Linked DNA regions of Kluyveromyces lactis. The protein of the gene in region 1 interacts with the protein of each later gene in a pairwise test. Links are inferred from orthologs where the notes say so. Each region holds a gene or a part of one and is shown on either strand. Other genes may lie near its edges. The genes, in order: CYR1 and SRV2.

The links.
Region 2: the proteins of CYR1 (region 1) and SRV2 interact in binary tests that used the Saccharomyces cerevisiae proteins (3 or more experiments, as listed by UniProt). The link is inferred for Kluyveromyces lactis from reciprocal best matches to the Saccharomyces cerevisiae genes CYR1 and SRV2.

Annotation. Positions count from the first base shown.
Region 1 is NC_006042.1:1,440,943-1,456,619, forward strand, and holds CYR1 (adenylate cyclase), read left to right. Parts: upstream 1-6,806; coding exon 6,807-12,509; downstream 12,510-15,677. Other genes in the region: rRNA-processing protein SOF1, read left to right, coding at 1-104; PSR1 (phosphatase), read right to left, coding at 618-1,862; POM34 (Pom34p), read left to right, coding at 2,613-3,800; MEU1 (S-methyl-5-thioadenosine phosphorylase), read right to left, coding at 3,946-4,962; copper metallochaperone COX17, read right to left, coding at 5,429-5,590, 6,352-6,381; SYS1 (Sys1p), read right to left, coding at 12,640-13,233; DRS1 (putative ATP-dependent RNA helicase), read left to right, coding at 13,793-15,677.
Region 2 is NC_006037.1:997,375-1,013,227, forward strand, and holds SRV2 (adenylate cyclase-binding protein), read left to right. Parts: upstream 1-7,895; coding exon 7,896-9,539; downstream 9,540-15,853. Other genes in the region: INN1 (Inn1p), read right to left, coding at 83-1,249; THO2 (Tho2p), read right to left, coding at 1,514-6,106; U2 snRNP complex subunit YSF3, read left to right, coding at 6,402-6,404, 6,481-6,741; KLLA0_A11616g (uncharacterized protein), read right to left, coding at 6,881-7,522; NAM9 (mitochondrial 37S ribosomal protein uS4m), read right to left, coding at 9,746-11,194; EAF7 (Eaf7p), read left to right, coding at 11,586-12,794; peptidylprolyl isomerase FPR1, read right to left, coding at 13,093-13,437; KLLA0_A11748g (uncharacterized protein), read left to right, coding at 15,358-15,853. UniProt on the Saccharomyces cerevisiae protein: The N-terminal domain binds to adenylyl cyclase, thereby enabling adenylyl cyclase to be activated by upstream regulatory signals, such as Ras. The C-terminal domain is required for normal cellular morphology and growth control.

The DNA.
Region 1 (15,677 bases):
CATTTTTACCTGAAAGGAAGAAACAAATCGTCGGTACTGTCTTTCAATACGAGGACGACAAGAAATCTAATTCGAATAGATCCAACGATTCCGAAGATGAATAAAATATATGAATTTCTATCAGTTTTGAATTAGATATTTATAAATTTGTAACGTTAATAAGCTCGAAACATGTCTCTTTTTTCTTGAAGTTATAAATCAAGGTAGTTGATCAAGTTTTCCTTTCAATGAAAAATCGTTTTTAGCAAGGAACTATCTTTTACCGAGATTAGCAGATATCTTCTTTATAATTTGAATCATGGGTTGCATGTAACGAATTGAATCCTTTCATATTCTTTTACAGTATTAGATTAGAAGTATAGTTCCATAATAAAAGTGAGAGAAAAAGAAAAAAAAAAAAAAGAGGAAGTGAACACAAGAAGAACCAGCCTTGCTTGCCCAATATAATATGATGAGTATTATAGTACTAATGAGTCTATCAATTTGAAACTATGGCAATGAATATTAGAGAGAGGGAGAGAGAGAGAGAAGAAGATGTGGTCATGCAAAAAAAAAAAAGACCCAATATATGCAATCGTTTGCATAAACAAAGCATAAAATGAATCAGTACCAACTAATTATATTGTCACATCTAAGATTTCCCCAACATCAGGTACCCTCTCTTCAGCCAAGTCTTCCAGAAGTGGAATGATGTCAAGCAATTCATTATCGTGGGCATCTGAAAACCAGGATGAGATTGGAATGGCGTGCTGAGGATGGAATATGTAAGAAGCAGGGGAATTATCCAAGATAATCATATCTGATAGTGGTCTACCAATTTGGGAAAGATTCTTGATATAATTGCCCTCGTAGTTGTAACAGGAGTCTCTGAACAACCTATGATGAATAGTTTTGTCCTTGTCCAATATATCCAACAATGGGTCACCGTAGCGGGACACACTTGCAGTAAACACCACGACTTCGTATAGTTCAGTAATGCGTCTCAAAAATTCGTCGACACCAGGCCTTTTTATCACGTACACATTGTGAACTTGGTTATCGATTTCCACAGGAATAACAAAATCAGCAGTACGTAGATATTTGAAAGAGGAATGGACCAACGTTTCATCCAGGTCTAAGACTAGACATTTCTTACCCTTAAACATATCGGCCTTCGGCAACAACAAGGTATTGCACCCCGGTGCATGGGCCTGATCTGGCTGCAATTGAGACAAATCCAAAGGTTCCCCATCTTCGGGCTCCCCATTTGTCATTTCTACATCGCTAACGCCTTGACTATGAATGCCCTCGGAGTCATCCGCACTACTGGTATGTTCAGTCTCGTGAATCGTGGTCGTGACCTCTGCAGTTGGCTGAGTTGCAGACACTGCGGTGTCTGCAGTTGTGCCAGTACTTGTATCAGATTCAGCGTTATATACCAACAGTGTTTGCTTTTCATCCCCTTTTACATCCACATCGTCATCTTCCTCTCCAACCATGTCAACGTCAACGACATCACTATCAGTATCGTTATTACTAACAGCAGCCGTATTCTTCGACAGCGGACTCTTCTCAACAGGCGCACTTGCAACAGCCGCTACAGTTGAGCTATGCTTGTTCGCCGCATTTTTCTTTTTCAGATGCATCTTGGCTGTAGAATTGGATAACGTAGTATGAATTTCTGATTGTCTTGAATGAGTCGCAGCAACCCCTGGACGTCCACTCTTCTTTGCACTTAGCGTATTCTTGCTCTTACTTTTCTCCGAGCTTGACCCACTAGAACCTTTATTACTATTGTTACTTGACGATGAATTCCTACCCTTCTGTTTCCTAGAGCTATCCGAATCGCTTGAACCACACAATAAAGATGCAATGAATCCCATCACTTTTATTCCTAACAAAATCAACAGCGACCTATAAATAAATCGAGACACTGAGCGAGTGAGAGAAACCAAAAATCACACACTGAGCCCAAAAAAAATGGATAACCGATATTAATCAGATTGGTTTTTCAAACGGATTGATACTGTTATTAATATATGTTCTTTCTTTCTATCTAAGCAAAGAAAGATAGCAAACAAAAAAAACCTAAATACACAAACCAATCAGGCTCCCTGAAACCACTGGCCCCTTGATATAGTACCCGTACACTGACAAATCCCGGTACTTTTCAAGACTTTACTGCCCTTCTGTAAATGGCCTCCAAAAAAAATTAAGTTGCAGTTAAAATAAGAGAGTTAGTCAATGACCAATGTTCTATTCTCAAAATTGTTTAATCTGCAAAAGTTGACTGTTTCTGGTTTTTCCATGCTGAACAGAACATCAAAACTTAAAGAACGAACCAAACGAAGCAAAAAGAATTTTTTCTTTTCCCTGGCACAAGATGGTGCGGGTAACGAGATGTTTTTCACTTGAAAGAGATAGAGGCCGGCTTGAAGATTCACTTCTTAGTTTAACTACTAAAAACACAGCTAGTTCTTCAATGTTAATAAATAAGAATCGTTCAGTTTTTACCTGGATACGGTAAGTTTCATATCCTGATATTAGTGGTGTTTTTACTGTGGTAATTGATCGAGAGTTTACCCCGTAAATACAGGGATCAAGATATATAAAGGAAAAAGGTGAGAGTAGCAATGGATAATGGAATTTCTGCGCCTGGCACACCGGCCAAGACTTTTCAGACTCCCAATAGGCCTTTGAGCCAGCAGCAATTTCAATCCTTAAGGGAAAAAGCTATCAAACAGTCGCCTGCATTGTATAAACACAAGGTATTGAGTGATCCTACCAGCAAGACTGATGTTTCCAAGTCAGATTCTTCCTCTGTGTTTGCTGCATCTGCGTTCTCTGGCAGATTTGACGCGAAACCTTCAGCATCAACTAATACACATACCGCATCCCCTGTTTTTCGAGGAAAAAGTAACCAGGCATATTCTACACAGCAAGATACCGCACCAGTGACAAATTCTGATCTGCTACCGGACGAACCGGTGGGACAGAAACAACAAACGGATTTGAACTTTTCCGAAGATTCCGCATATGATAAATTGACTGATTTCGAAAACCCGGCGTTGGCTGCTTTCACATCTCGTATGGTTAATAAAGAGTTGGAGATGAGAAGGTTGTTGACTAATGTAGTGTTGGCAATGATTTGGAATCTCATATACAAATTCGTGTCATTATTCTTCCAATTCACTAAAAGGGGATCCCAACTTCGAGACGAACTGTATCTTTTCGTATTGAAAAACGTTGTTTATAAGATTAACCCACATGCCAACATCAATTCATTTTGGTTCCAAATGCTTTCTTGGCAATTTGCAACCAGTATATTCCATACTATTGTCATTTTTAACATTGCATCGTGTCTTTGGAACTTGCTGATAAAAGCACAAAATACGGACATATCAGATTTGCATCTAACCGAGAATCAAAAACGCTTGTTAGGGGTTGTGGAAAGCACCCCCGACTATGGTAGATCCTTTGATCCTTCAATTAATATAGGTAACTCTAAAGTGAAATCCTTAAATGAAGCAGAATCAAAATCCAGCCACAAGCCTTTCATATTCAAATCTTTACAGACTCCAATGAAAATGCGTGAGTTGAATACCCTTCAGCAAGCAGAAGTGAAAAAAAATCATGTATCTTTCTCTTTACAACCGAAGAAAGTAAACGCCTTTGGTGTCGATCACATAACAAATGTCTCCAATACTCCTACAACTTTATTCACATCGACACGCTCACAGCCAGACACTCGTCCCGGATATATTCCAAGCAACCGGTATACTTATATGATGGACTCACCAAGTGCGATGAAGAAGCGCTGAAAAGCATGCGTACTTCGGAGAACGATTCTTTTTCTTCTTCTTTTGGTTTCGAACCTCTGATAGCAGTTATGATAAGAATGTTATTACTTACATGGCTACCTACCGCGTATAGTTTATAAAGTTTATAGAAGAGAAATTTACAGCGTTACCAATGGTTTGGGAATAGAAACTTTAGCTTGGCCAAGGCATCTTGAGACATGGCTTCAGGTTTTGTTGAAATGGAGTACTTCATGGCATCCTTTAGACCATCACCGTTGTTCATAAATTCAGGAAGTTGCTTTGCCATTTCTAAAATGACCCGGGATGCCAAATGGTTAGCATTTTTGGCATTGTTCTGTAAATTACGGATAACAGTTTGTACAGACACTGGTTCTTCTTCGTCTCTCCATGCATCATAATCGGTAGACATACAAACCATCTGGTATAGAATTTCACATTCACGAGCCAATTTCGCTTCAGGGATCACACTCATGTTGATGACATCTCCACCCATCAGACGGTACATCTTAGATTCAGCCCTGGTCGAAAATTGGGGACCTTCCATACAGACAACGGTTAGTTCTCTATTGTAGTGCAACAGGCAAGGTTCTTCAGACTCTGGGTTTTCCAGAATATCTTTGAATTGATAAATATACTCAGCAAATGACTTGGAGAATGGTTCACCGAACACAACATGCCCAACTAGGCCTTCATCGTTGAAGTAAGAGGACTCTCTGATCCCCTTGGTTCTATCGATGATTTGTTGAGGCAACACGAAGTCTCTTGGTTTAATTTCCTGTTGTAAAGAACCGACAGCACTGAAGGACAAAATAGCACTGGTTTTCAAGTTCTTCAAGGCAGCAATGTTAGCTCTGAATGGAACCCTTGTTGGTGGGTACTCATGATTCACACCGTGTCTAGCAATAAAGGCCACATGGAAATGCTCAGTTTCATCTGATTTTACACGAGACACCGTGATTGGAGAAGAAGTCTTACCCCAAGGTGTTTCCATACACGGAAGAATGGCAATTGGTTCCAAACAATCCAAAGTGTACAAACCAGTACCGCCAATGATTCCTAGATCAATAGTCCCATCAAAAGTCTGAGGTAACTGCGTAGAATTCGTCATTTTAAAGCTGTAGAATTTCGGGATAACGTTAAACTTCCTGACGAACGTTTTCATAAAACGAATAACGTTGTAAAGAGGAACTAGAAGAGTTTTGGTTCACCAGATCAGATTTGAAAGGACTAATTTACAGACAGTTTTATTTAAATTAATGCATGCATGCGCTCATTGTAAACTTTTCTGAAGATGGAGATGAGCATTCGAGAGACAACGCAGGTGAAAAAAAATGAATAATCACGTGCTCTTCTTCTTTTTCTTTTGTTTCAATGATACTATTAAAAAGACACAATTATTAACAGAACCTAGCTTCTAAGACTATGCTTTTAATTGCATAAATGATTTTTGTATAGTTGTAGGTATACTAAAGTTGGAATTTGGAATTTCTGGTTATCGCAGTATTTACAGGAATGAGGATGGGGTAGTCGAAAACCTTCCAAACCTTCCAAACATTGATATATGTATAAATATTCTTCTCTTCGCAAAGTTTCGTCATAATGGGTCAGCTGCCATTGTCGCATTAGATTCAAACTTCAAAGCCATATCCCTTCATACAGGTCTTATACTTAGCGATCAACTCATCGCACTTACCGGATTCTTGGCCATTAAATAGAAGACATTCGTCTCTAGCTTCCTTTTCTGGCTTGCAAACACAGCATGGCTTTGGCTTAGTAGCCTCTGTCTCTGTCTTAACTGGAGCAGTGTTGGTCTCTTGTGGCATTGTTTCTATAGAGTTTTGCTGTTGGGATGTGTCTGGATATTGAACTGAAAGGTATCAGGTTAAATGGTGACAGATTAAAGGGCTGGTTTCAATAACTTACCTACAATTCTTTACAAACCATCGACATGTTAGTTGTATTACTAAATCCTGTGAGAAGCTTCTCAGTAGTTACCTTTTTGAACTTTTAACATTCAGTGTCTGATTTCATTACCCGGATAATGCTCATGTGACTTGTCCGATTGATTATCTAATCCGCCATATATGGTAAAAATGTTCGAACGAAGAGTCCATATGGAGAGCTGCTGGAAGTTGAATTACAGGCTCGATAGAGTTCTCCTAGAGATAAATAAGAAGTTGGTACATTGTATAGAATATCAAAACCACCAGATCAGCTTTCAATTTCAACTGATTGCTGAGTTTGCAATATCAGTCACGTGGTAATTTTATATCTCCTATCACCTCTCTTATACTCTTCATCCTTAACTTAGGGCAGTAAAATGAAAAGCGGACAGTAGGTTCAGTTTGAACATGAGGTCTCATTAAAGCTAGCAGCTGGATCCCTCACATTGCAGCATTACCGTTCCACGTATGATGATGTCAAAGCTTCCCTTTTTGTTAAGGGGAGACTTTGCACGTTGGAAACGAAAATTTCTCACTGAATTGATGGAGAGCTGAAAAAAATGTGAAATAACAAAATGTGCAAAATATAATGTTTGATACGGACATACTGATGCACTAGATTGGAAATTCAGGTGCATAGTAAAACCCTACTTCACTCTGGTATTGTCATAACCCAAGTGCTCATTGAAATATAGTGTTACAACGATTCAATTGTGTTATCGTGTTTACGCTGGTGTTGAAAAAACCAAGTACGTTGATCATTTTGCGTTCTTAGTTAATCACTGGTTTTTATCAGACTTTGATTTGACACTATTTGTAATTAAAGACAATAATATATCTTCAACAGCAATTTGTAATTTTAATTTCTGTTGACAAAAACACAATCGATTATAGTCTCACTTCATTTTGGCATAATCTTTGTCAGAAGTTGGATAATAATCATTTTCCTTATAATAATCTGTCCTGTTTGGATTCTTAAGTGCTGGTTTATGGGTACTTGTATTCATTTGTAAATTCAACCACTCAAGACAAACCACAGTGCGAGAGAAAGAAGAGGTCAACTATGAATCCACAACCGAAAGAAACTAATCGAAGCTCCATCTCCTCGGGAGCAAGAAACAGTGCTGGCAGTGCTTCTTCAAATAACAGTATCTCAAGTAAAAATAGCGGTAGGGAGTTACAACCACGAAGCGATACCGATAGCGAATGGCAAGACGTTGGTATGCCCACTTTTAAAGAGGACTATTCCATAGATGCAATTACGAAGAAGGTGAAACCTGGGAAAAAGGGTTTCCATTCTGCTATAGTTCGTGATGCTGGATCATTCGCGCACAATCCTCAACCACCTTTGGCAAAACCGGTGAAACCCACTTTTGAAAGGTCCCGGACTGCAAACCTGACCGCAACTTCATCAAGAGGTAACCTGCCGCTACTTTCGCGCACTTCCAGTACGCTGTCAGTATCAACAGCTACTTCACATGGACATAAAGGAACTACCAAACCGTCACGTGCAACTAATTTCTTCAAGAAACTTACCAGCAGGAAATCATCTCTGGCAAGCCAAGGAGGGCCTCCAGATTCAGATAATCAAATAAGCCAAGGTGGCAGAGTGTCGGCTTCAGATGGTGAACAGCAGTCACCCTTTCATCAACAGTCTCTGCAACAGCAAGTTCCCACTAACGCTTTGCGGAGAAAGATGAGCACATTCATACATGGTTCTTCAACCATGTCTGCGGCGTCTACTTTGACATCCGCAAATGCTCCTCATATGAAACACTCTGGGTCTAAGGGCAGCTCCCTGTTACATTCAGGTAACGAAGCCAGCAATGGTTCAAATTTAAGCGGTGGGAATGCGACAAGTGGCGTTTCGAACCAACAACATGGAGTAAGTTCTGCAGGCAGAAGTATTGACACAGACCTGTCAAGAAGAAATTCAGGGACCTCATTTGATGCTTCTAAATTATCAGCCGCTAAAGAAATATTTGGTGTTGACCTAGATTTAGACAAACTTTCTGATATGACGGATGTCGTCGTTACTTCTAATGCACCCTCCGCAGAAACTACGGACAAAGTTCCACCAAAATCACCTAATGCGTCACAAGATACCAAGGATGCTACACTTGCGCTACGGAAACAATGGACTGCTCCAGAATCCTGGGATGTTGATGAGACGGTCGGTCTTGATGTTAACAAAATTAAAGAAAGACATAAGATGTCAAAGGCCAATCGACATAGAGGGAAAAACCGCAAAAGGTACAGCAAATCACAAGGAAAACATACCAAGGGGTCTGTTCCAAAAAATGTCATTGCGAAAGATACTTCGGAGCCAGTAATTCCTCATGTACACCATCATGACTTTGAAGAAGACGCATTGTCACCGCGCACTTCTCCTCCTAACAGAGGATCGAATGACGAATCGGGACTGCATTTATCAGAAACGAAAAGCTCCGAATGCGATCTTTGTTTCACAATTTCTCCCAACGGCGACGAAGACTCAGACATTTCCATTGAAACCCAATCAGAAAGCCTAGACGATATAACTTCTGCTAAGACGCAATCTCGACCAGGTTCGCCTCTATCACAAAAAAATATCGAACAATATACAGAACTAGATGGAGAAACCGAATACGAAGAACATATGCTTGAGAAGTATTATAGTGATCTTTCGGATATTGACCAAACCAAAAAATATGCTATTAGAATCTTCAATGTCGATGATACTTTCACAACCCTTTCATGTCGTCCAAATACATCTGTGGCCGAACTTATACCACAAATAAAGAAAAAGTTTAATATTCAACAGGGGAATTTCCAGTTGTCGTTGAAGGTTGGTAAACTATCTAAGATTTTACGACCAACTGCAAATCCAATCCTCATCCAGATCAAGTTATTACTATTGAATGGTTACAAGAAGAGTGATCCGCTCCATATTTTGGGGCTCGAAGATGTCAGCTTTGTTTTTAGTTTCAAATTCCACCCGGTGACCACTTCCCAATTAACAATAGAACAACAACAGAGGCTCTCGAAGGGTGACTTCATTCATGTTGACTTGAGAAACATGGACTTAACTACACCTCCTATCATTTTTTATCAGCATACTTCTGAAATCGAGAGTTTGGATGTTTCTAATAACGCTAATATCTTTTTACCTATCGATTTCATTGAAAGTGCCGTTAAGCTATCCAGTTTGAGAATGGTTAATGTCAGGGCATCTAGGTTCCCAGCCAACATTACACAGGCTTATGATTTAGTTTCCTTGGACCTAGAGAGAAACTTTATCAAAAGGGTACCGGAATCCATCTCCAAGTTGTCCAATCTTACTATTTTGAACCTTCAATGTAACCAGTTAGACAGACTTCCATCTGGATTTAAGAATCTCAAGAACTTGCAGTTGTTGGATATCTCCTCCAATGCATTTACGGCGTACCCCGAAGTTATCAATAGGTGTACAAACTTATTACAGGTTGATCTTTCATACAATAAGATAAATTCACTTCCACTTTCCATCAACGAACTAAGTAAGTTGGCGAAGATGAACCTATCCAACAATAAAATTCAAGCTGTTCCCGATTTGTCAGGTATGGCAAACCTACGGACTCTCAATCTAAAAAACAATAGAATTGCCACTATCAAATCAAACGCCCCAAATTTGCAGAATTTATTCTTAACCTCAAACAGAATTTCCGTTTGGGAAGATTCACTACCTAAACTAAGAAGCTGCGATTTGACAGAAAATCCTGTTACTTCGTTCGACTATAGAGGTAATGTGTTATCTAACCTTACAAGTTTATCTCTAAACAAGGCAAAACTATCCAGTTTACCTATCGATTTTTTGAAAACTTTAGAAAAGCTTGAGAAGCTTGAATTAAATGACAATAACTTAACAAGTTTACCTGCGGAAATCAAGTACTCAAAAAAACTAATTCATTTTTCTGCCGCCAACAACAAGTTGGATAGTATTCCGGAAGAAATAGGAGAACTCTCCAATCTTAAATCACTTGATTTACATTGTAATAATATTAGAGAATTACCCATTTCAATTGTAAATTTAGAGCTAACAACATTAAATTTCTCCTCTAATTTACTTGGCTACAACCCCGGATTAGAGGACTATGAAAATACCCCTTTATCAAAATCATTACTATTTCTCAATACTGCTGACAACAATCTCAATAATGAGATGCTTCCTTTATTCAACTTCAACACTAGCTTGAAGATAATCAATCTTTCTTATAATGATATTTCTGATATTTCTGCATTAAACCTACCATCGTTGACAGAGTTGTATCTATCCGGCAATGCTATCACCAGCTTGCCCGGTGAAGTGTTCCAAAGAATGAAGAATTTGAAGGTGATAATGTTAAATGGTAATAAGCTGATGTCACTACCATCGGAGCTCTCTCAACTTTCGAATTTGACAGTTCTAGATGTTGGTTCAAATCAATTAAAATACAATATCTCAAACTACCATTATGATTGGAACTGGATGAATAATTTGAACCTAAAATATTTGAACTTTTCTGGGAATAAAAGGTTCGAAATAAAGTCAATGATTGGCCCTGATACTAAAACAGATTTGTCCGACTTGACAATCTTAAAACAGTTAAAAATTTTGGGGTTGATGGATGTTACAATGAAAACCTCCAAGGTTCCTGACGATGGTGTCAACTTTCGTCTAAGAACTACCGGATCCATGATTAATGGTATGAAGTATGGTGTTGCTGATACTTTGGGTAAAAAGAGCTCCGTGTCAACTAGAGATATCAAGTACGAAAGATTTAGAGGCAAGGATGATGAGTGCTTGTTCTGTCTTTACGATAGTGTGAATGAAAACGCCTCTTCTGGTCATAAAATCTCACAAATCATCAGAGACATATACGATAAGATTTTAACAAGAGCTTTGGAAAAATATGGAGACGATACTGACGAAAACATAAGGACAGCATTGCGGTTCAGTTTCTTACAGCTTAACAAAGAAATTAACGGGATGTTGGTGTCTGTTGAAAATGGCCTGAACAAATCTGAATTAACTACCGTTGATTTGCTCAGTGGTGCATCTGCAACAGTCGTATTTTTCAAAGGCAAGTCAGTGTATACAGCGAACATTGGTAACATCGGAGCTATTCTAGCGAAAAATAATGGTGATTACGAGGTTTTGACTAGGTTGCATGTTCCTACTAAGAGAGATGAATATGAAAGAATAAGAATTGCAGGCGGTTATGTCAATAGTGAAAAATTAGATGGTGTTTCTGAAGTTTCTAGAGCCGTAGGATTCTTCGATTTACTGCCTCATATTCATGCATCTCCAGATATTTCGGATTTCAAGTTGACCTTCTCAGATCAGATGATAATTATTGCATCACATAATCTTTGGAATTATATCGGTTATGAAATTGCATCTGATATTGCTCGTGAGAATGGCTCAGAACCTATGCTGGCTGCGGAAAAGTTGAAAGACTATGCCATAACTTATGGCTGTACTGATAAATTGACAGTTGTCTGTATAAGTGTGGAAAAGGGTGCTACTGAAACGAATAGATTCAATATAAGCAAAAAAGATTTGTTATCGAGAAAAACTGCATTTGAAGATAGTTCTCTCAGAAGGCTTCAACCTGAGATCCCCCCTCCCACAGGTAATGTTGCCATTGTTTTCACCGATATAAAGAATTCCACTTTCATTTGGGAATTATTCCCTGATGCGATGAGAACCGCTATCAAAACACATAACGAAATAATGCGTAGACAACTACGTATTTTTGGTGGTTATGAGGTGAAGACTGAAGGTGATGCATTCATGGTAGCATTCCCAACACCTACGAGTGCTTTGGTCTGGTGTTTAAGTGTTCAATTGAAACTTTTGGAGGCTGAATGGCCGGGTGAGATAACATCTATCAGGGACGGTTGTTTGATCACGGACACTAGCGGCAACAAAATTTATCAAGGTCTTTCAGTGCGTATGGGTATCCACTGGGGTTGTCCTGTGCCAGAAGTCGATGTTGTTACCAAGAGAATGGATTATCTAGGCCCTGTTGTGAATAAAGCTGCAAGAGTCTCTGGTATTGCTGATGGAGGACAGGTCATGCTCAGTAATGATTTTATGGTAGAGTTTAAGAAGATTTTAAGCTACCACCAGCAAGTCACTGAAGATAATATTCCGCTCGCAAAAGCCTACGGGGAAGACATTGTGGGTGAAATTTTAGAACGAGAAATACACATATTATCGTCTATAGGATGGATGTTCGTCGAGCTTGGTGAACAAACGTTGAAAGGGTTGGAAACTAAAGAACTTGTCACCATAGCATATCCTAAATCACTTCAAGCGAGACACACTTTGGCAACACAAGATCAGAATAACAGTGTTATTTCAGATGATTTTCTATTCCAAATTAGATCAGTGTCCAATAGATTGGAGACTGTCCTCTCCTCAGTCCAAGGTGGTCTTATCGGGCTGGAAAATTCTGCCAATGGACGATATACTACCTTTGATAGTAATACCAAACAGGCCGTTATGAAAAACTCGTCCGAAGCAGATCTTCTTGCATTCCTTGACCATTTAATCACCCGAATTGAATCGTCAGTCGTCTTAATGAACTTACGCCAACAGGTCCAGGGTGGTTTAACCATATACAAATCTGGTGATGCAATGAAACAGAAATCAATCTTCCAATTGCTGGATGACCTTCTAGCCAGAAACCAATTATACATAGAAAACAGCCATAATGACGAGAGCGAGCAACAAAGCTTCAAATCTTTTCCGGAGGAGTAGAGGACTTGATTTCTTTATTGTTACGTCGAAAATGTCTCATGGTTTCGGACCCTTTGATTAATTGTCGTGATTTCATCAAGAATAATATAACACATTTCCATTACATAAGTATATAAACATGCAAAACTTTTTATTTTTGTGCTTCTAGATCTCTAAGTTCGATGCTTTTCCCTGGAACTTGAGAAGCTGGCTGGCTGGCACTGGCAGGTGCAGAATCGTCATCCACCATACCTTCGAAAAATGTGTCTTTCAACTCTCTCCACCTGGTAATCCAAGTCCCAAGGAAAATCAATATCAGTGTAGACAAAAATTGCAAGATAAACCATGCTAGTGAAGGGAATAGCCCTGTGTGTGTCCATACTACTACTAGATTTATAGCATGGATTGTAATGGCAAAATCCCACGCGAGTTTACTCCTTCCCACTATGATGGTCAAAAAAAAGACACAAATCAAGGAATCAATTAACCAAAGGGCTGATAAAGAAATACCAAAAGAGTTTGAGAAATCAATGTCCTGCCATGTAAACAACCATTGCTTTAGCTTTATTTCGTACCCACATATTTTCGCCCAGCAATAAAACAAAGTTGATGCAGTGAGATAATAGAACATTTGCAAGAGTATAATCTGAACGATTATTTTACCAGGGGACTGAGACTCTTGTTTGAAGATTTCAGTGGGTAATAGTTCTCTCGGAACACGCATGTATCGTCTAAGCGAAGCCATCTCCCTGATTGGTTGAAATGTCTCTAATCGGTCGCCTTTCTAAAACTGCACTTGGTACAGTTCAATTCTATCAAATATAACTGGTGCGAACAACCAAAAGAATTCACCGAATATTATAGGAGGAATGCAATAAGTAACGAAAGAGGACTAACTACTCAATTCTGTCTTTATTTTCAAGTCTCTCAAATCATGTCTCAATCACAACTCATCTTGGATTTAATATGTTGCTTAGAGATTCCGAACTAGTTTCCATGTTGACAACCAGTGGTTACCCTAACTTGACGATATGTTTTTCCTCAAAAGAAATTTTCCATGTTCAAGCTTTTCACATCTGGAATGGCGATGAGATGAGCTTGAGATGAGCTACGACAACTAGAATAACTTAGCAGTGAGTACTGTTCATTGTTCCTTATTATAACTTCTACAGGTGACATACTATTTATCTAGTGCTATTATTCTTCACTCATTTCTACTTTGCGAGAAAGAATAGAATTCTTGTTGTTCTTTGATTGAGTATTAAGGTAAGTGGAAAATAAAGAGATATACGGCATTCGTTAATATGGCTGTTAAGAAGTTTAGATCATTCGATGATTTTGTTCCTACAATTAGTGATAGCGAAGAAGATGTTCCAGATTTAGATGCTTCTGATGACGAAATGGAAAAGAAGCCAGTGAAGTCCTCAAAAACTAAGAACAAATCTAAAAAGAAGGCCAAGCAACAACAGGGATCTCACTTGGACGAAGATGTCCATGAAGATTTGAATCCAGAATTCCAATTCTCCATTGACAGCGGAGAAGTTACCACCAACTTTGCAGGCTGGGATTTCCAAGGTGATGAGAAGAGTGATGAAGTTGAGAAAAAAGATGTCGATCTAGATGGGATCATTAGAAGAAAAGGTGGTTTGATTATGATGGCTGCTACAGGCAGTGATGCCGAAGAAAGCCTATCAGAAGAGTCCGAAGAAGAACCAGAAGAAGGAGACGAACCTGGCGAGAGTGATGATGAAGATGAATTAGCTTTGGATGGGTTCGGTATGGGTGTCAAGAGAAAGGCAACAGAGGAAAATGAAGAAGATGAAGAGGATGAAGAAGAAGAGGATGACGACGAAGATGACGACAAAAAGACCGAAATGAGTCAGGCAGATTTAGGTAAGGGAAAAGACGAAGATGAAGACATTGAAGAAGACACTAAAGAAGAAATGGCTGAATTTTATGCTCCAGAAGAGGAAAGTGCGGATGCTAAAAAGATCGTTCATAAAACTTTCAACAGCTTGTCGTTATCCCGTCCTGTGTTGAAAGGGCTTGGAAGTTTAGGATACACCAGTCCTTCTCCAATTCAAAGTGCTGCTATTCCTATTGCCCTTCTTGGTAAAGATATCATTGCCGGTGCTGTTACAGGTTCTGGTAAAACAGCTGCTTTTATGATTCCTATCATCGAACGTTTGTTGTACAAACCTGCACATATTGCATCAACAAGGGTTGTTGTACTAACTCCAACCCGTGAATTGGCTATTCAAGTGGCTGATGTTGGTAAAAATATCGGTAAGTTTGTTAACGGACTAACGTTTGGTTTGGCCGTCGGTGGTTTGAATTTAAGACAACAAGAACAAGCATTGAAGACCAGACCTGATATCGTAATTGCCACACCAGGTAGATTTATCGATCATTTAAGAAATTCTGCGAGTTTCAGCGTTGATTCAGTTGAAATCTTGGTCATTGACGAAGCTGATAGAATGTTAGAAGAAGGTTTCCAAGAGGAACTACAAGAAATCATGTCTCTCATTCCAAGTAAGAGACAAACTCTGTTGTTTTCTGCTACAATGAACTCAAAAATTAAGCAATTAATCTCGCTATCTCTAAAGAAGCCTGTTAGGATTATGATTGATCCTCCAAAACAAGCAGCAGATAAATTGACACAGGAGTTCATCCGTATACGTAAAAGAGATCATCTCAAACCGGCATTATTATATCAATTGATTAGAAAGTTGGACAATACAAGCCAGAAGAGAATAGTAGTTTTTGTTGCTAGGAAAGAAACTGCCCATAAACTGAGAATCGTCCTTGGGTTATTGGGTATGCAAGTTGGTGAATTGCATGGTTCGTTAACCCAAGAACAACGTCTACAGTCTGTTAATAACTTCAAATCCTTACAAGTACCAGTCTTAATCTGTACCGATTTAGCTTCGAGAGGTTTAGATATTCCAAAAATTGAAGTGGTTATCAATTTCGATATGCCAAAAACTTACGAAATTTACTTACACAGAGTTGGTCGTACTGCCAGAGCGGGTAGAGAAGGTCGTTCAGTAACCTTTGTAGGCGAATCATCTCAAGATAGAAGTATTGTCAGAAGTGCGATCAGATCAGTGGAAGAAAACGCTGAAAGTGGAAAGGCCTTGAGTAGAAACGTTGACTGGACACAAGTCGAGCAAGTCAACAGCTTGATTG
Region 2 (15,853 bases), on another chromosome or scaffold:
AGAGGAACATCTAATATGAGTAGTGATAGAAAAACTTTTAACTGTCTATCCTATCAATGATTATGTAGTTCTAATAAGTCATTTATAATGGTGGTGGTCTCCTCCTTGTTGGAGAAACCGAGCCTGATCTTGAAGAAGGCGAAGAAAAAGAATTTGGCAAGTTCGGTAGCCTTGGAGTAGTAGGTTGTCTCACAGGAGATTTTAACGGATATTTTTGTCCGGCTGAATGTCTCACTGAAGATTGGCTGGATAGTCTTGAAGGCGTAGTCGGAAGAGGTGGTAATGGCGGTTCAACAAACGATTTTGTAGGAAGGTGATTCATAGGCGATGGCTCGTCAATGTTCGTTGGTATTCTTGAGCTTGAGCTACTCTCGAGACCGCCACCTACCACTTTCTGTAAGACTTCCAAATCCATCGCAGTGTTGGTGATACTCTCTGTAGATGGTACCGAGGAGCCGTTCTTGAAATAATTCAATTTTTCTTTGATCAGCTTTAACTTGTCCATCAGCCCATCAGTAGATTGGCTTTGTTGCGAATGATAGGTATTTGCTGTAGCATTAGACCCCATCGATGAATCAAAATCTATTCTTTCACTTGAAGCGTGTGATGATCTAGAAGTATCGAGGTTTATAGGTAGATCAGGAAGTGGAGATTTTATATGAGAGCCGTGAACGTATTGGCCTGGGGATGCGGAAGCAACGAACCGCTGCTCACTTGCCGATGTCTGCAGTTCATATTGTGCATGTAACTCCGGTGGATCTGACGGTAGTGGTGGTACTGACCTGGACTGTACACTGGAACTTATTTTTGGAACATTGTCGCGTCTGTCTTCGCTAATGTTATTTGGAACAAAAGTCAATTCAATATACACCTTACCAGCTTCCAAAGGACCCCTCTTCAGATGATACCACCTATCATGGCCTTCTTCAGGGTCACTTAGTAATGCAGGCAAAAGATCAACATCGCACTTCCCAATGAGCTTCGAACCATGTTTGTGATCATGGTCATCGTACAGTTCAACGCAGAGTAGAGGCTTGATATCGGGCGTTAGTTGAAAAACACAATGGTAATCAAATTTTGGAGTTTGGCCGCCTCTGTATATCACTGGAGATATCTCCGTAAGATGAGCTACTCTTAACTTGACGAAAGGATCTTGCTTGTCTAACTTTCTTAGATTTGGAAGGTCCTTCGCTTTACTCACATAAACATCTAATCGACCATTTGCTCCGGTTATCACGTTATTGCTCATTACACTTAATGCCTATATCGATTGAAAGGTGTTAACAGTGCTTATTGACCCATAAAGAAGCTCTATTCAAACTGTAAATATGTAGTTTAGCTTGATTCAATCTTATATTTACATAGGTCTATGTTTTTCAACATTTTTCATATTGACAGTTTTACGTGGTAAGAAGCATCAGAGTCTCAGGGAAAGACCGTACAAAATCGAAGATAATTGGTAGCATATATTATGCTATGCTATTTAACTAAGTGTCGAGTTAAGTATTTTTATTCACCTCGAATATCTCGATCCTCCAGATTGTCTTTTTGGACCAGATGGTAATGGCGATTGGTTATTTGTAGAACGATCGTTCAACTTAGGCTTTTTAACGTTTGAGAATCTGCTTGAACTTTGGTAAGATTCATCAGATTGCCTCTTTCGTGGTTCGGAGGGAGTATTAACGAATTTCTTCCCTTGATTGAATGGTCTGCTAGGAAGCTGTGATGTGTTTGAATTGCTGATACTTCTGTTGCTAGACGAATCTTTTCTTGGGCCAGATGGTAATGTGTTTTGGAATCTGCTAGATGAACCTGAGCTTGCAGGACCAGATGGTCTTGAGGAAGTATCCGGAGGCTTAGACGCGTTGGCTGGTGCTCTTGGCAGAGTTGTTGAGGCTATACCATGTTGATAACGAGAAGAAGCTGCCTTTCTTGGTTCACTAGGTATTGGACGGTTACTGGAAGTGTTGGAGTTCCATCTTTCACCACTGTACTTCGATGAAGGTTTAACAGGTACTACTTCATCTTCATACATACTTCCAGGTGTCTTGGTTTGAGGCAAAGGAGCAGATTTGCATCTTTGAATAAAATTTTCAAAGACAGATCTGTAGTGATCAGGTGGATTACTAGTGACTCGGTGGTAATAGTCCTCGAACAATATCTTCAATTTGTTTCTAAATCCAGAGATGTTGCCTGGAGCTTTTATCAATTTTCTAAAATCACTCTGAGTGTTAGAATCGTATATCAAGGGAATGGCTCTGGTGTACTCAGCATCCTTAATGTACTTCTCGATCTTATAAAAGCCATCCATGACTTGCGATGGAGATGGAGAATTGTTGGATATGGACGACATGGATGGTGCGGTAAGTGAAGATGTTGCAGCACCGTTCTCAGCATCCTGTTGTTTTGCCTTTTCCCTTTCCTTTTCTTTCAATTCTGCTTCTTCCTTTCTACTTTGCTCTGCTTTTGCAGCTTCCTTCATATCTTGGTACCTTTTGATGAGATTCATCTCGTCTTGCAGTTGTTGCTGTTCTTCCGCTGAAACTTCACGGAAATCCGATGTCTTAGAGGCGTTCTTAAGTCTAGCCTTTAAGTGTCCTTTCAAAGCGTTTGATGGCAAAATGATATCCTCCCTTTGCTCGTGTTCAATTAAATGATCCAAAGTGTCTAAAACCAATTCCAAATGTTCATCAACGACAGGGAAGATTTCGCTTATAGCATTTAAAAACTGGATTGTGTTTCTAATGGACATGTAATTGGAATCCTCTAAGGTAAATGATAATTGTTCTGTTAATTGATAGTAGAGGTCATATATTACAGGTTTAATTTTGTCATCATCCAATAATGTAGTATGTCTCCAATTTTCGATTTTGGTAATAATGTCCTTCAAAAACGTAGCGATGTTGCTCGATTCATTTACCGTAGAAGAAAATAGTAAGGTTCCTAAAATGTTTGAGGATGTGAATTGCCCTAAGATATCAATTACTTCTTCGATATTAAATGTTTCAGTAATGAAAGTTGCGCAAAATATGGCATCAAATGGTGAAAAAATGAGTCTAGGAACAACGCAGTGTTGCAAAAATGAGGTAATACGCTCACGGGAGAATTCGGGGAACCATGTCTCCTTGTTCATTTTAATCATGTTCTTTGTCTTTTCAAAAACGCTTGCATGCTGAGATAGATCAAATTTGACTGTCTGTATTGTGCTTAATAAACTATGCCTCTCTTTCAAAACTTTAGCAGCCTTTCTCTTGTCTTCGTAAATGATTTTCTGCTTCGTGTACAAATCTTCTTCTAATCTAATATCATATAAGGATAACCGCCAGAAATCAATGAATAGACGTTTATCAATATTTTCAAAATTGATGCCTTTGAAATCAGTCTCATATAGAATTTCGTTGATTTCATCAGCATCATTTTCAGATCTCGCCAGCTTTGTATCGAAATAATGCCTCCAGATATCAAACGCCCACTCAACAGGAAATTGATATTTCTCAATTAAAACGTTGAAAGGTAGAATATTGGCTTTGAATTGTTCTTCAGTCAAAATGTGCTTTAACATTTCAATAAATGACCAAAGTAATGCATTGGATTCATCGCATTTCGCTGATAAGATTTTATAATGAACGTTATTATCGGTTTGAATCTTAAGATTCAAATTTGTGAGCATGATAATCATTTCTGACACTGCATTAAGCTCTAACAAGTAATTGACAATAGTTTTTGAAGGTTGATAATACTTATCTCTGAAATCCAAGATAAGATTTCTACCGATTTGTTTTAAAAAGGATCCTGAGCTTATCATTAGCAAAGTGTTCCAATTTACATCATACAACGTTTGTATTCCTGCAACTTGGGAGATTAACTCCTTCAAAATAGCCAGGGTAAGCGATGGATCCTTGTAAAGATTTTTGACCAAAAACACGAATATGTTGGACATACTCATTTTAGAACAGCCTTTAGCAAGACCCGCAATGAACAAAGATAATCTGCTAATCCACATTTTGGGAGTAATACCATCATCTTGTAAAGTTGGCCTTTCCGATGTGAGCTTAATTAATAACGTATACTGTAAAACATCGTAAGCGAATTCTGAGAAAAATTCGGCACTTATGACGATTAGTTCAGAGACTTTATCATAATTTTCTATTTGTTTTAGGATAGAGTCTAGAGTTGAAAGAGGATTGCAGGACACGAAGTTAGCAACATCCCTGCACTTAAATGCAATGTTGTCAATACTCAAAGATTTTAAAAGTGACCTTATCCGCTTTTGGTACTTATTAAATTGTAACCTGACATGTATGTTGTCTTCAGCAATCTTTGTACTTAATTCATGGTACATGAAGTATCTTCTTTCGAATGGGAAGTGCTTCATAACCGAATAAATTGCATTTGCAACAAACTGCTCATCTTCGACTAGTCCTAATACTGGTAGCATAAACTTTCTGCAGTAATTAATCCATAAATCCATAACCGTTTCATCTTCTAGGTTATCTAGAATATTTTTTTCAGCTATGGCGCATATATGTTCAACAAGTTTAGCATTAAGAATAATACGTGGACCGATGCTTTCAAATATTAGATGTGAATAATGAACGAGATTCTCTATCGTTTCAATTGGAGTCAAATTCTGTCGCCAGTCTTTATTGTAAAATACAAATTCTGTCCCTTGAATGTATTTGTAGTCTTTCCCCAAAGACCTATATTGCCTGATCAACCGATCTTGTTTAGTAGGAATTCCATTGTGAGATAACTTCAAAAGAGGTCGACAATGTTCTGAAATAGCTGAAGGGCTCAACTTTACAGTCAAGGGTTCGATCATGTTGTCAAACACCTCGAGAAGAGATTTCACGAGACTATCGTTCACGGCAAAGAACCGAGGATATTTGAATAGAGCATACAATCCTGGAACAAAGTGCCCATTGACAAGTAACCTCTCTACTAGTTTCCATTTTGGTGATTTTTCAACAGTTTCTCGAAGTAGTGCTTCTTTTTCCTTCTCCGATATCCCAGTATCTGCCGCTGTATTGGTTTTATCACCTTCCGTATTTTTCGAAATGGTATTGTCTTCGTCAGTAAGGACGGAGGCCATAGCTAACGGATTAAGAGATCCCTCCAAGGATTCCTTTTCCAATGTCGTCAGCTTCCTCTCTACAAACTCATCAATGTCAGTATCGTACGGGGTCAGGCAATCGAATATAGCAGCAAAAGAGACAAACCCGCCTTTAATTAGATGAACCACTAAATCGATGTAATTTGCATCTGGTTTACCATTATTAAGGTAATTTACTATCAACCTGGTAGCTATCGGATTACCACCTTGGTTCAATTGTTCATACCGTGAGCAGTTGGCCAAATTCGAAGATGGCCAGTAGTCTGTAGATTGCAAAAGCTCAAGAATAAACTCAAAATGGTGTACGACATGATATGAAGACACTTGTAATAGTATATCCATGCACCTGATTGGGTCTAGCTTATATTTCCCCATAATATATTTCAACTGTTTACTGTAATATTGAACAGATTGGAATTTGTCAACATCTTCAAAAGCGATATTCAACAACGTTATCAGTTGACTGAAACCAGTAGAGCATTCTAGGAATAAATTTGGTTTTTGCAAAAGGAAGAACTCGGGAACGATGCTCTTTTTGAATGCGGACCAAAAATCTTTGGACCATCTTTCTGTACCCTTTGAAAGAATTTGGTCGTTCAAATAAATACACACCTCTAACTGAAGATCCTTGGCACACCCAACTAAATCATTAAACCCATTGTTCGCCTCCCAAGGGTATGAATTCGCTAACGAAACAAATAGCTCGAAGTTATATCTATCCTCGTTGCATAACGCACTAACTATTTTGCTGATAGCATCCAAATTTAAAAACTCCGATTCATCAGATTTCCCATTGATTAAGGAAAAAGCTTCCAGAAACAAATCATACACATAATCAGATTTCTGAGAACTGGCATCTAAGGAAAGGTACTGTGATATGATTGTTTCTACACCACGACTTGGTTCATCGAAAAACGTCTTGTCAAAATAAGTAACTTGTTCATCATTTGGAAGATTGGAAGCCAAATTATTCAAACAGTCGTACAATGCCATGATGAAAACAATTTACCGTGTGCCTAATTCAATTGGCAAATGCAAATACCCCTATTGCTCTTCCGTCACCAGGACGCTACAATCATGAGGTTGATGTTGCGCAATGTATGTGTTATATCTTTCACAGATTTTTAACATATTCAAATTCGATATTTGAAAAATGTCGGCATGGTGAGAATGGTAACTTGAATAGAGTTGATATCTCAAACAGGGATGAAAAGAGTCACAGCAGTCAGTATACTAGGTATTTGACTAAGTTAATGGTATCAGTGAGAACAATAGGAAGTTATAAACAATGGTATGTACTTTTTTTTTCCAATTTATGTGTAATATCCTATGCTGACCAATGATACTAACTACTGACTTAACTGCAGAGTAACAAAGTGAAAGAGGAACTGATATATGAAGATATGCGGAAGAAACATCCAGGGGTAGGGAGTGCTAGAACAACAAAGGAAGAGTGGTCTAATACGATAAGCAAGGACACATATGCCAGCTTGGCTATTCATCAGAACCTTTTAGAGTATTACACATTGGCGTCAGGATTCCCTTCCAAACGGGATGCCCAACTAACACTGTTACGAAAACTTGCAAACCCGCCAAAACCAATCAAAAGGGATATTGGAAACGATTAATGATTATTATAGATATTACACAAGTGTATTTGCAATATTTTTGTTGTTGGTACATGCGGTATTTAACGTGTATTTTATGTTAGGTGTATCGAAGTTAAAAAGCTATCGAAAACGCTTTCAGAGATTGTAATATATTTAATTAAAGTTCTGGCTGCGAAGAAATCTCTGTTAAGATTCTTCTGCCATCAATTTCGGCCTGGTTGAACCTCTTGTGTAACGTTTCTAAATCCATGTTGGAAGCAAACACCTCAGCGTGGGCTGAACCAGTAGGAAGATCGATAACTTTCAAGTCTGTAACTTTGCAGTTGCCCATCTGTTGTAACACTCTTTGTAAATTAGAAGGGTTCGTTCCTATCGGCAAATTTCGTATCTTTAAACATTTCAAACTCTCTTTCAATGAAATAACCAACTTCTTATTATTACTGTTATCACTATTGTTTCGTTGCTTAGATCTAGCTCTATTCTTCAAATTATGAAGCAAATTGACACGTTTGTTCGATTGAATTTGTTGCTTATTCTTATCTGAGCTGGCTTTCATTTTATTGCCCTGCAAATCAGCAGCTAACACAAGTTTACCACCAAGAAATGTCAATCCAGTCTTTGCTTTGGCCTTTTCTGCCTTTGCTTTCTCTGCCCTTTCCAAAGTCTGCTTCTTCTGTAATACGGGATTTTGGCCACTAGAATTTCCAACACGCCCAAACAACGAGTTAGAACCTTTCCCTACACCTTTTCCTCCCCCATTCCTGGACTTCGAATTACCATTCCGATGCTGCGATGCCATATTTACAATAAAGGACACACAACAGAATTCTCCTTTGCTATCTTAACCAGAAAAAGTAAGACCGTACTAATTTCCTGAATCGTAAGAAAAATGAAACAGAGTACCACAGTCGTATAGTAACCTGATGTTTCCTTTCGTAACATAAGTTAACATCTTAACCTACCATTCCAGAGTTTTTCGTCAACTTTGTTCTCAATGGTCACTTTTACATGTTCATCAGAGACACTTTTAAGGAATCAAGAAAAAACAAAAAAATAATAGAAGAGAAACATTTTAATAGGGGCATTTGCTCTGATTTTGGTGTATGAAAGGCTTCCAATACGGACGGTGAACTGTAATCAGGACGTTTGAGTGGATTGAAGCAAGTTGGAAAATGACTGAAACAAATTTCTCAGTGCAGGGGTACAATTTGGTAAAACTTTTGAAGAGATTGGAGGATGCTACTGCCAGATTGGAGGATGTTACGATTTATCAAGAAGGCTATGTTCAATCCAAGTTTGGCTTAGAGAAAGACGGTAAGGTTGATGGGTTCGCTGATTCTGTTACTGCTTCTTCTGCTGAAAGAATTGCTAGTGCAGGTTCAGGCGCATCAGCAGCTTCTAAAGAAGCCGCAACACCGGTAGCAACAGCACCAAACAGTACTGGTGAATCGAAGGAGGAAGAACCGAAATCAATTCAAGAATTTAAGCATTTCATTGAACAGAACGTTGATCCTTTGGTTAAATTATCCGCTGAAATTGATCCTACTGTTGAAAAAGCTGTGGTGTTTTTAGCCAACGCTTTCAAAGCTCAGTTGGTGTTTTTAAAGGCAGCAGTACAATCAAAGAAGCCAGACTTTTCGTCATCTGCATTCGTGAAAGGTTTGACCCCAATTAACGAGAACATCTTCTCTATTGGTGAGTTGAAAGAGGAGAACCGTAACAGTAAGTATTTCGCTCATTTGAATGCTATCTCTGAGGGATCACCACTGTTCTCATGGATTGCTGGATCTACACCTGTGTCTACTATCACTGATTTCAAGGACGCTGCCCAGTTTTGGACAAATAGAATCTTGAAAGAATTCAGAAGCACTGATCCTAAATCCGTTGAATGGGTCCAACAATTTTTGTCCGTTTTCGATAGCTTGAAGCTGTACGTTAAGGAATACCATACCACAGGTGTGACTTGGAACGACACTACTGGTGAGGATTTCGAAACCGTATACGAAAGAGTTTCCAACGAGGGATCCGGAGCTTCTTCTTCTGGTGCTACTTCCAGTGAGCCGCATAGTTCAGGCGCCGGAGCTCCTCCACCTCCACCTCCACCTCCTCCGGCTTCCGTATTCGAAGTCAATGAACAATCAAAAGAACAAGAATCTGGTGGAATCGGTGCTGTGTTTGCTGAGTTAAACCAAGGTGAAAACATCACTAAATCCTTAAAGAAAGTAGAAAAGTCTCAGCAAACACATAAGAACCCAGAACTTCGTGCCTCAGGGAAGGTTTCTGACAAAGCTGTTCCTCCACCTAAACCAAAGAAACCATCTACTCTGAAGACTAAGAAGCCTCCAAGAAAGGAATTGATCGGTAATAAATGGTTTATTGAAAATTATGAAGATGAAGCCGAACCGTTAGTGATCGAAACTAAAATTGACGAATCTGTTTTCATCGGTAAATGTGTCAACACATTGGTACAAATCAAAGGTAAGGTCAACGCAGTTACTGTCAATGAAACAGAAAAATGCAGTTTAGTGCTAGATTCTTCCATCAGTGGTGTGGATATTATTAAATGTTTGAGATTTGGTATTCAAGTGGAAAACACCCTGCCACAAATCACCATCGACGCGTCTGATAGCGGCTCCATTTATTTGAGTAAAAACTCTTTACAGGCTCAAATTTTCACCTCTTCTAGCACTGGTATTAACATCAACACTCCAACTGGTCCCGATGGTGACTTCGTTGAAGTTCCACTTCCAGAACAGATGATACACACTTTCGTCGAAGGTAAACTACAAACCAAGATTTACGAACATGCTGGTTGAATATCTGAATAGTATATCTTCTCGTTACTGGGTGTTAGTTTATTCTTTACTCATTAGAACATATAAATATATATATATAATTAATATAATATGATACGATAAAATAATGATAATAATATGTACAAGGTTTCCAAGATACACCATTCTTTTTAAATTGTCATAGTCACAGTGTATCCATTCTTTCGTGTGTATTTGTTTTCGTCAACTTATTTACCCCTTCTCACATAGTACATGTATGAACGTTCATGTACAGGTAAGCCGAATGGAGTAATAACTTCAGATTGACCTGGACGTGCAACAGGGTCTCTTAAGTAGACCGCATGACATGTCTTGAATGATATTTCCAAATGGTGTGGTAGAATGGCGAATGGTGCTAAGAAGGGTCTTGGTTTCCACGGAGTGAAATATGGTTTAGATGGATCGTTACGACCAAACACACCCTTTTGCCATGGTAAATTGATAGCTTTTTGAGCAGCTGGTTCGTTTTCCAATAGTTCAGGAACATTGATCTTTTGATGCAATGGTAACTTTTCAGCCCACTTAGCATCGTATGGAATATCAACAGAATCAACGGATGCCATCTTGTCATTATAATGTTCTCTGACCACGGTTTCATAGAAATGTCTCAAATCAACTATAGTATGATTGATGGCTCTGAATTTTTTCTTTAAGGCATCGTTTGTGTTATCAACAGGTTTAGTTATTCCTGTAGCCACCTTTAGCAATTCACCTTGTTCATTAGGAATTTCAGCCAAAGGCTTCCCTGCTATCGTTTCCACAGCCTTGGCAGACTTGACTTCTCTATAAATTTCGAATCCTTTAGCTGCCAAATTTTCGTTATTGTAAAATTCGCCCAAGAAATCTTTTACTGCCAATTTTTCTACATCGTTAACGCGGTTAACGGTAGAAAAGATCTTAGCTAACAAATACTCGTTACTGGTTTGGTCTAATTCTTTCCTCATTTGAATGTGCATGGTTTTGTTGTAGTTTTCGAGGAAGGATAAAAATTCCTGTTTCTTTGGATCGTTACTATCCATAGTTCTTAGTTTTTCGATCTTTTCATCCCAGAACTTTCTAGGATTCTTTCTAGCCTCTAGAATATATTTGTTCCATAGGAAAATTTGGGTATTATCCACTTTCAAAGCTTCCTTCAAGCTAGGTTTCTTGGCACCAAGAGCTTGTAGCACTTTTTCGGGTCTGACGTTGAAAACATCACCAGCTTTCAAGGCATATCCCGGAGAAGTAATCTTTACACCATTCACATGGACGTTGCCATGTAAAATAAACTGACGAGCTTGTCTCACTGACGAGGCAAACATAGCTCTAAACAAAGCAAAGTCTAGCCTTTTCTCTAGTACAGCGTATGTTTGTAATAGAATGGGCGTCGGTTCGATATCACCACCCCTTAGAGAAGCATCTAATTGAGCCACAGAGTTTAGCTGAGGCTCGAAAACAGACTGCCACCTACTCTCTGTTAAATGTTCGCCATGGTAGGCACGAGTTTCCTGTTTAGAAGTCCATTTCTGTTGGTATAGTGTTTTCGATCTAAAACTGACCTGAGATTTCTTATACAAGTTGAACAAATTGTACTTGTTAAAAGAGGTACGAACCTTCCCTCTGGACAAAGAGTTCAGAAGTACAGCTTTCCTAGGCATTGCTGGTCTTTTTCTTCACAATGTATTGACAAAACTAACCAGAATTGACTGCTTACGGACTCTTCGAAATGGAAATACATTGCATATCCGAACTACCTGCATAATATTTTTCAATCAAACGCTATCTAATGCTTGAAGCTTTCCGATATTGAAAAATTTTTAGAGGAATTTCGTGACATATGATATCAAATATTAGCATTCATAGTTTAGAAAGATGAGAAACACCATAGAACCATATTGAGATGGACTGGCGAAGATGGTATCAAGCCTCATACGATCTGCTTTATCAGCGATCTTGATAGGAACTTTATTATATCAATTGCAAGAACGTTCTTTTGGTGTATAAGGTTGTGATACTTCAGATAAAAGTAATACGATACGGTTCACTGCGATGTCCGCTGTAAAGATAGAATCACCTAGAGGGCAAACATGGAGTAAAGTGGAGGAAATAAGGCTGTTTAAATGGATGATGCTGTTCAAACCTGCAGGAATACATAAACACTTCCATATGGTGTGTTTGCTTGAGCGATTGAACAAGCCAGATCAGTATCCAATCAAACTTTTGCAAAGCGATAAAGGCAGCTCAGATAAAGTGTTTTCTGGGGAGGACGTTTGGGAACAATTGAGTCGGTACTATAATTTAGAGAAGGCAGATGAAGTAGAGAACCAGCCATACCCTGAATTTTATAATGATGACGGACCAACCGAAACTACAAACAAAAAGACAGAAGGGGACGCTCAACTAGATAATGATGATGACAGTGACAATGATGTTGACAATTGTGACGAGCTTAAGAGAAATATAATACCATTACAAAATAGACTCCAGCAAGAGACGGAATTTGAACTATCGTGGGAAGATTATGGAGAACTTATGTTAGAACATGCTAGGGATCATGAGGTGGAAGATATTAAGCAAGAGGAGACCGCTTCTGCGGATGACAAGGCAAAACTGAAGGGTGCGGAATCACAGGATACGCAAGTAGAACAAGAGTCAGAAGAGCCACGGGAACGAGAAAAGGATATCGATGAAAAGGATACTGAGCAAAATAATGTACAGGCGAAACAAGAAATGGCGACCACTCCGCCAGTCAGTGTTGGAGAATCTGTGAGCGAACTGGCGAATGAACCTGTCGATGAACCTGTCGATGCTCATAAGAAACCAAGGACAAGACGCTCTACAAGGTTGACACGTTCACAAAAGCGAGGCATTGATGACGAAAGTGAAAACAAAGAAGACCAACCCCATGGCGGAAACACCGATGAAAAGGAAGATGTCGAACACGATACAGAAGGGAGATCTGGTAGCGAAAAAGAATCGACTGCTGATGCCGCAGATACTACAGCTACAAAACAAGTCACATTTGCTGATGAATCTGAAGGTGCTGCCAAGGAATCAGCTAATTCGCCGACAGGGAAAGCAGAAGAGAACGAAACGGAATCATCTCAACAGCCGCGCCCTAAGAAACAAAAAGTTGCCGCTGCGGAGGAAGTTCCTGAAGATCTTGCCGACGTGGATTCTCCAGCTAGGAGAACAAGAAGAAAATCCATAACAAAACCAACTACAAGGCTCTCGAGCAGGCTTAGAAGCAGGAAGTAGTTGTTCTTGATTGTTTTTTCAATAATGCAATAACAACATAATATAGCTAATGGTTTATATTATAGGCATTTCGTTGATGTACAAAAATTGAATGTTAAAATGGAAGCATACAAACACTACGGCTACAATTTGATAGCAATTCCCATGTTGAAAGGTTGATGAGAAGGTACGGAAAGATGTAAAGCTATAATAATAATAATGGATGGGACCAATTGGAAGGAATCAAGGGAGAAACCAAAGAAAAAATGTGAAGGAAATTAATAGTATGTGTTTTATTCAGAAGAATGACATTATACATCTAGTTAATCTTCAACAATTCAACATCAAAGACTAAAGTAGCATTTGGTGGGATCAAACCTGGGAAACCACGTGGACCATAAGCGTATGGGCCTGGGATAGTTAGTCTTGCCTTTTCACCAACGGACAACTTTGGAATAGCAGCATCCCAACCCTTGATAACTTGACCTACACCAATGTTACATTGGAATGGAGAACCTCTATCAACGGAAGAATCAAACTTTTGACCGTTTTCCAAAGTACCAGTGTAATGGATTGTTACCAAATCGCCTGGTTTTGGGAAGTTGGTACTGTCACCTGGTGATAATCTTAGAATTTGAACGTTACCTTCAATTGTTTCGGACATTGTTTCTGCTGTTTGATGTGTGATAGCTGAGTTATTTTAAAACTGCAATACAATAACGGATTAAACTGACACAAAATAGCACTCAATTGGCCTCGTAATTGCAACAGTTTCGTGTAGAATGTAGGAATCCTTATTATAGAAATGAAAACTTTTTGTTTTCTGAACGATAATGATTTCTAGAAGCAGTGGTAACGTATTTAATGACTTCAAGACTTTCAGCATTTGTCACGTGACTGCATTCTTTCTTTCTTACTTAAGCAATCACTTTTCGCGGAAACATGCCTGTAAGAGGTTTGAGCAGACGCAACGGCAGCACAGCCAACATTCAGGTCAGTTCAAATAAAGATCATCGAACCTTTTAGCATAGGGTTTTTAAATCACCTGAAATTGTACATTCCTGAACAACAACCGACGTCACTAAGCCGTACTACATCGAATATCCTACGAAATATCTCATTTGCTATTATGCTCTGTCCGCATCTGTATGTCCAGAAGTGTTTGAGATTTATAATTGCTTGATAATTAAAAGGTGAATAACTATAGCAAGAGCCAGGTTTTCAAAACTTTGAGGTATGGTGCTTTGTAATTCAGCCCTCATTTGCTTTATTTAGAATTAACGCCTCGATACCTGTTAAGGGAAAGTGAGCAAATTCTTGGTTACTGGGTCTAGAAGAGAACATTTCTGGAAAAGCAGGTTGATCCTAATTGTGCTGGTCAACTTGTAGTCGAGTAGATGTGAATTCACAGTAGCACATCGACTCTTATTCATAAACGGAATTGGTGATACTTAGAGCGGCTTATTAGCTAACATGTTATGAAGTTTCATTTAGTATTGCAAAATATTCCGTTGACTGAGCCGCAGAAAAGAAACTGCCCAGCGAATATGTTACGTCGTACAAAAATGTACATAGTCTTGCAATTCAGTTCCGTAACCATGGGCTATCGAATGAAAGGTGGACTAAAGAGTTCTCCGATTTCGTCTTCACAGTTTCTCAATGACGGATCAAATGGTTCTTCCGCATTTTTTGCCTATTCTGTTAATACCACTGAAAGCAAGTTTCGACTCGTGCACTGTTTCATACTGTTTCTAGGCCCACAGGCTGAAATAAAGTTATTCGCGTTGATCGTTTCTTCTTTGTACATTCAAACTTCTTTTCTTTTGTTACCACTTTCAGCCAACTAACCTGCTCCTAGTGATGATGTATTGGAATTTCACATAAGACACTGTAGTCATTTCACAAGATACCCACAGTTTTCTGGTGCAAGGTTTAATACCGAGCACACTATTGTAAGTCCATATCCGTCTTGATCTCGCTATTTTCGGAATATTCTCTCAACTCGAATCCCATTCCTTGCTGAATGGTTGTCTGAGGTAAGTCAAGTAACATGCAGTTTTAGGAAAAAAGTCTCGAAGTCTTAATTGATCAGTTAATCAAGCTTAACTCTGCTCTGATTCAAATTCACTGCCCTCTCCACACATTTAATCCACGATATCCTCTCGCTGAACACACACATTTTGAGCCACTCGCATTTGAATTTGGTACCGAGAGACTAGACCAAATTAATCTGCCGTCATAATAGAATTAAACAAATTATGTGCCGTGAAACCATGATATTTGTAGCGGAATAAGATTCATTCAGTCACTCAGCAGAACACGCTCTAACCACATCTTGAGTTTCAAGTTCTCTCAAGTATCCCCTGAGTCAACAATGTAACCACACAGATTTCTTTCTTTTGACAGATTTATCAGCTATGTCAAAGTTTGTATAAATACCAGGCAATATGGGAGGAACAGTATCGCATGTCATTTGAGAAGATGTTAAAGATTACTCTTGTAGTTATCAATTATTATCATTCACACGGTAGAACCAAACCAAGGTAACCTAATTTAGCTTTTCAACCAAACGAAAAACCACAACATGCATTTCCAACCAGTACTTTCTTTCTTAATTGCCGCCGCGGGCTTTGTTAGCACTGTTACCTCCGCTGACAGTGACGCTTCTGAAAAGTTTATCTTAGAACCAAGTGACTTGGAATCTATCATCAAAGCCTTGCAAGAAGTTGACCATACCATCGATATACCTCATCTACAATTGAGTAATGTCACTAATGGCACGGCAGCTATCAGTGTTTCTAACTCTGCCACTTTCGATTTGGTTGGTGTGAAGGATGCCACCACTTTGCAAGTGACTAAAGATGGATACTTGGTTTCCGTTTCTGCTAATGGCGGTATCAAATATGCTACTATTGCCGCAGCTGCCGCAGATCCAGCCGTTCTGTTTACTGCAGATCAATCATATGCCTCTCCAGGCTTCTCTATATCTGGTGGTAACTTAGCCTTGAACGGTACTGACTCTTGGTTGTTGTCCGTCAACTCTACTGATTTGACCTTCAAGGCCAACGGAGCTTCATTGC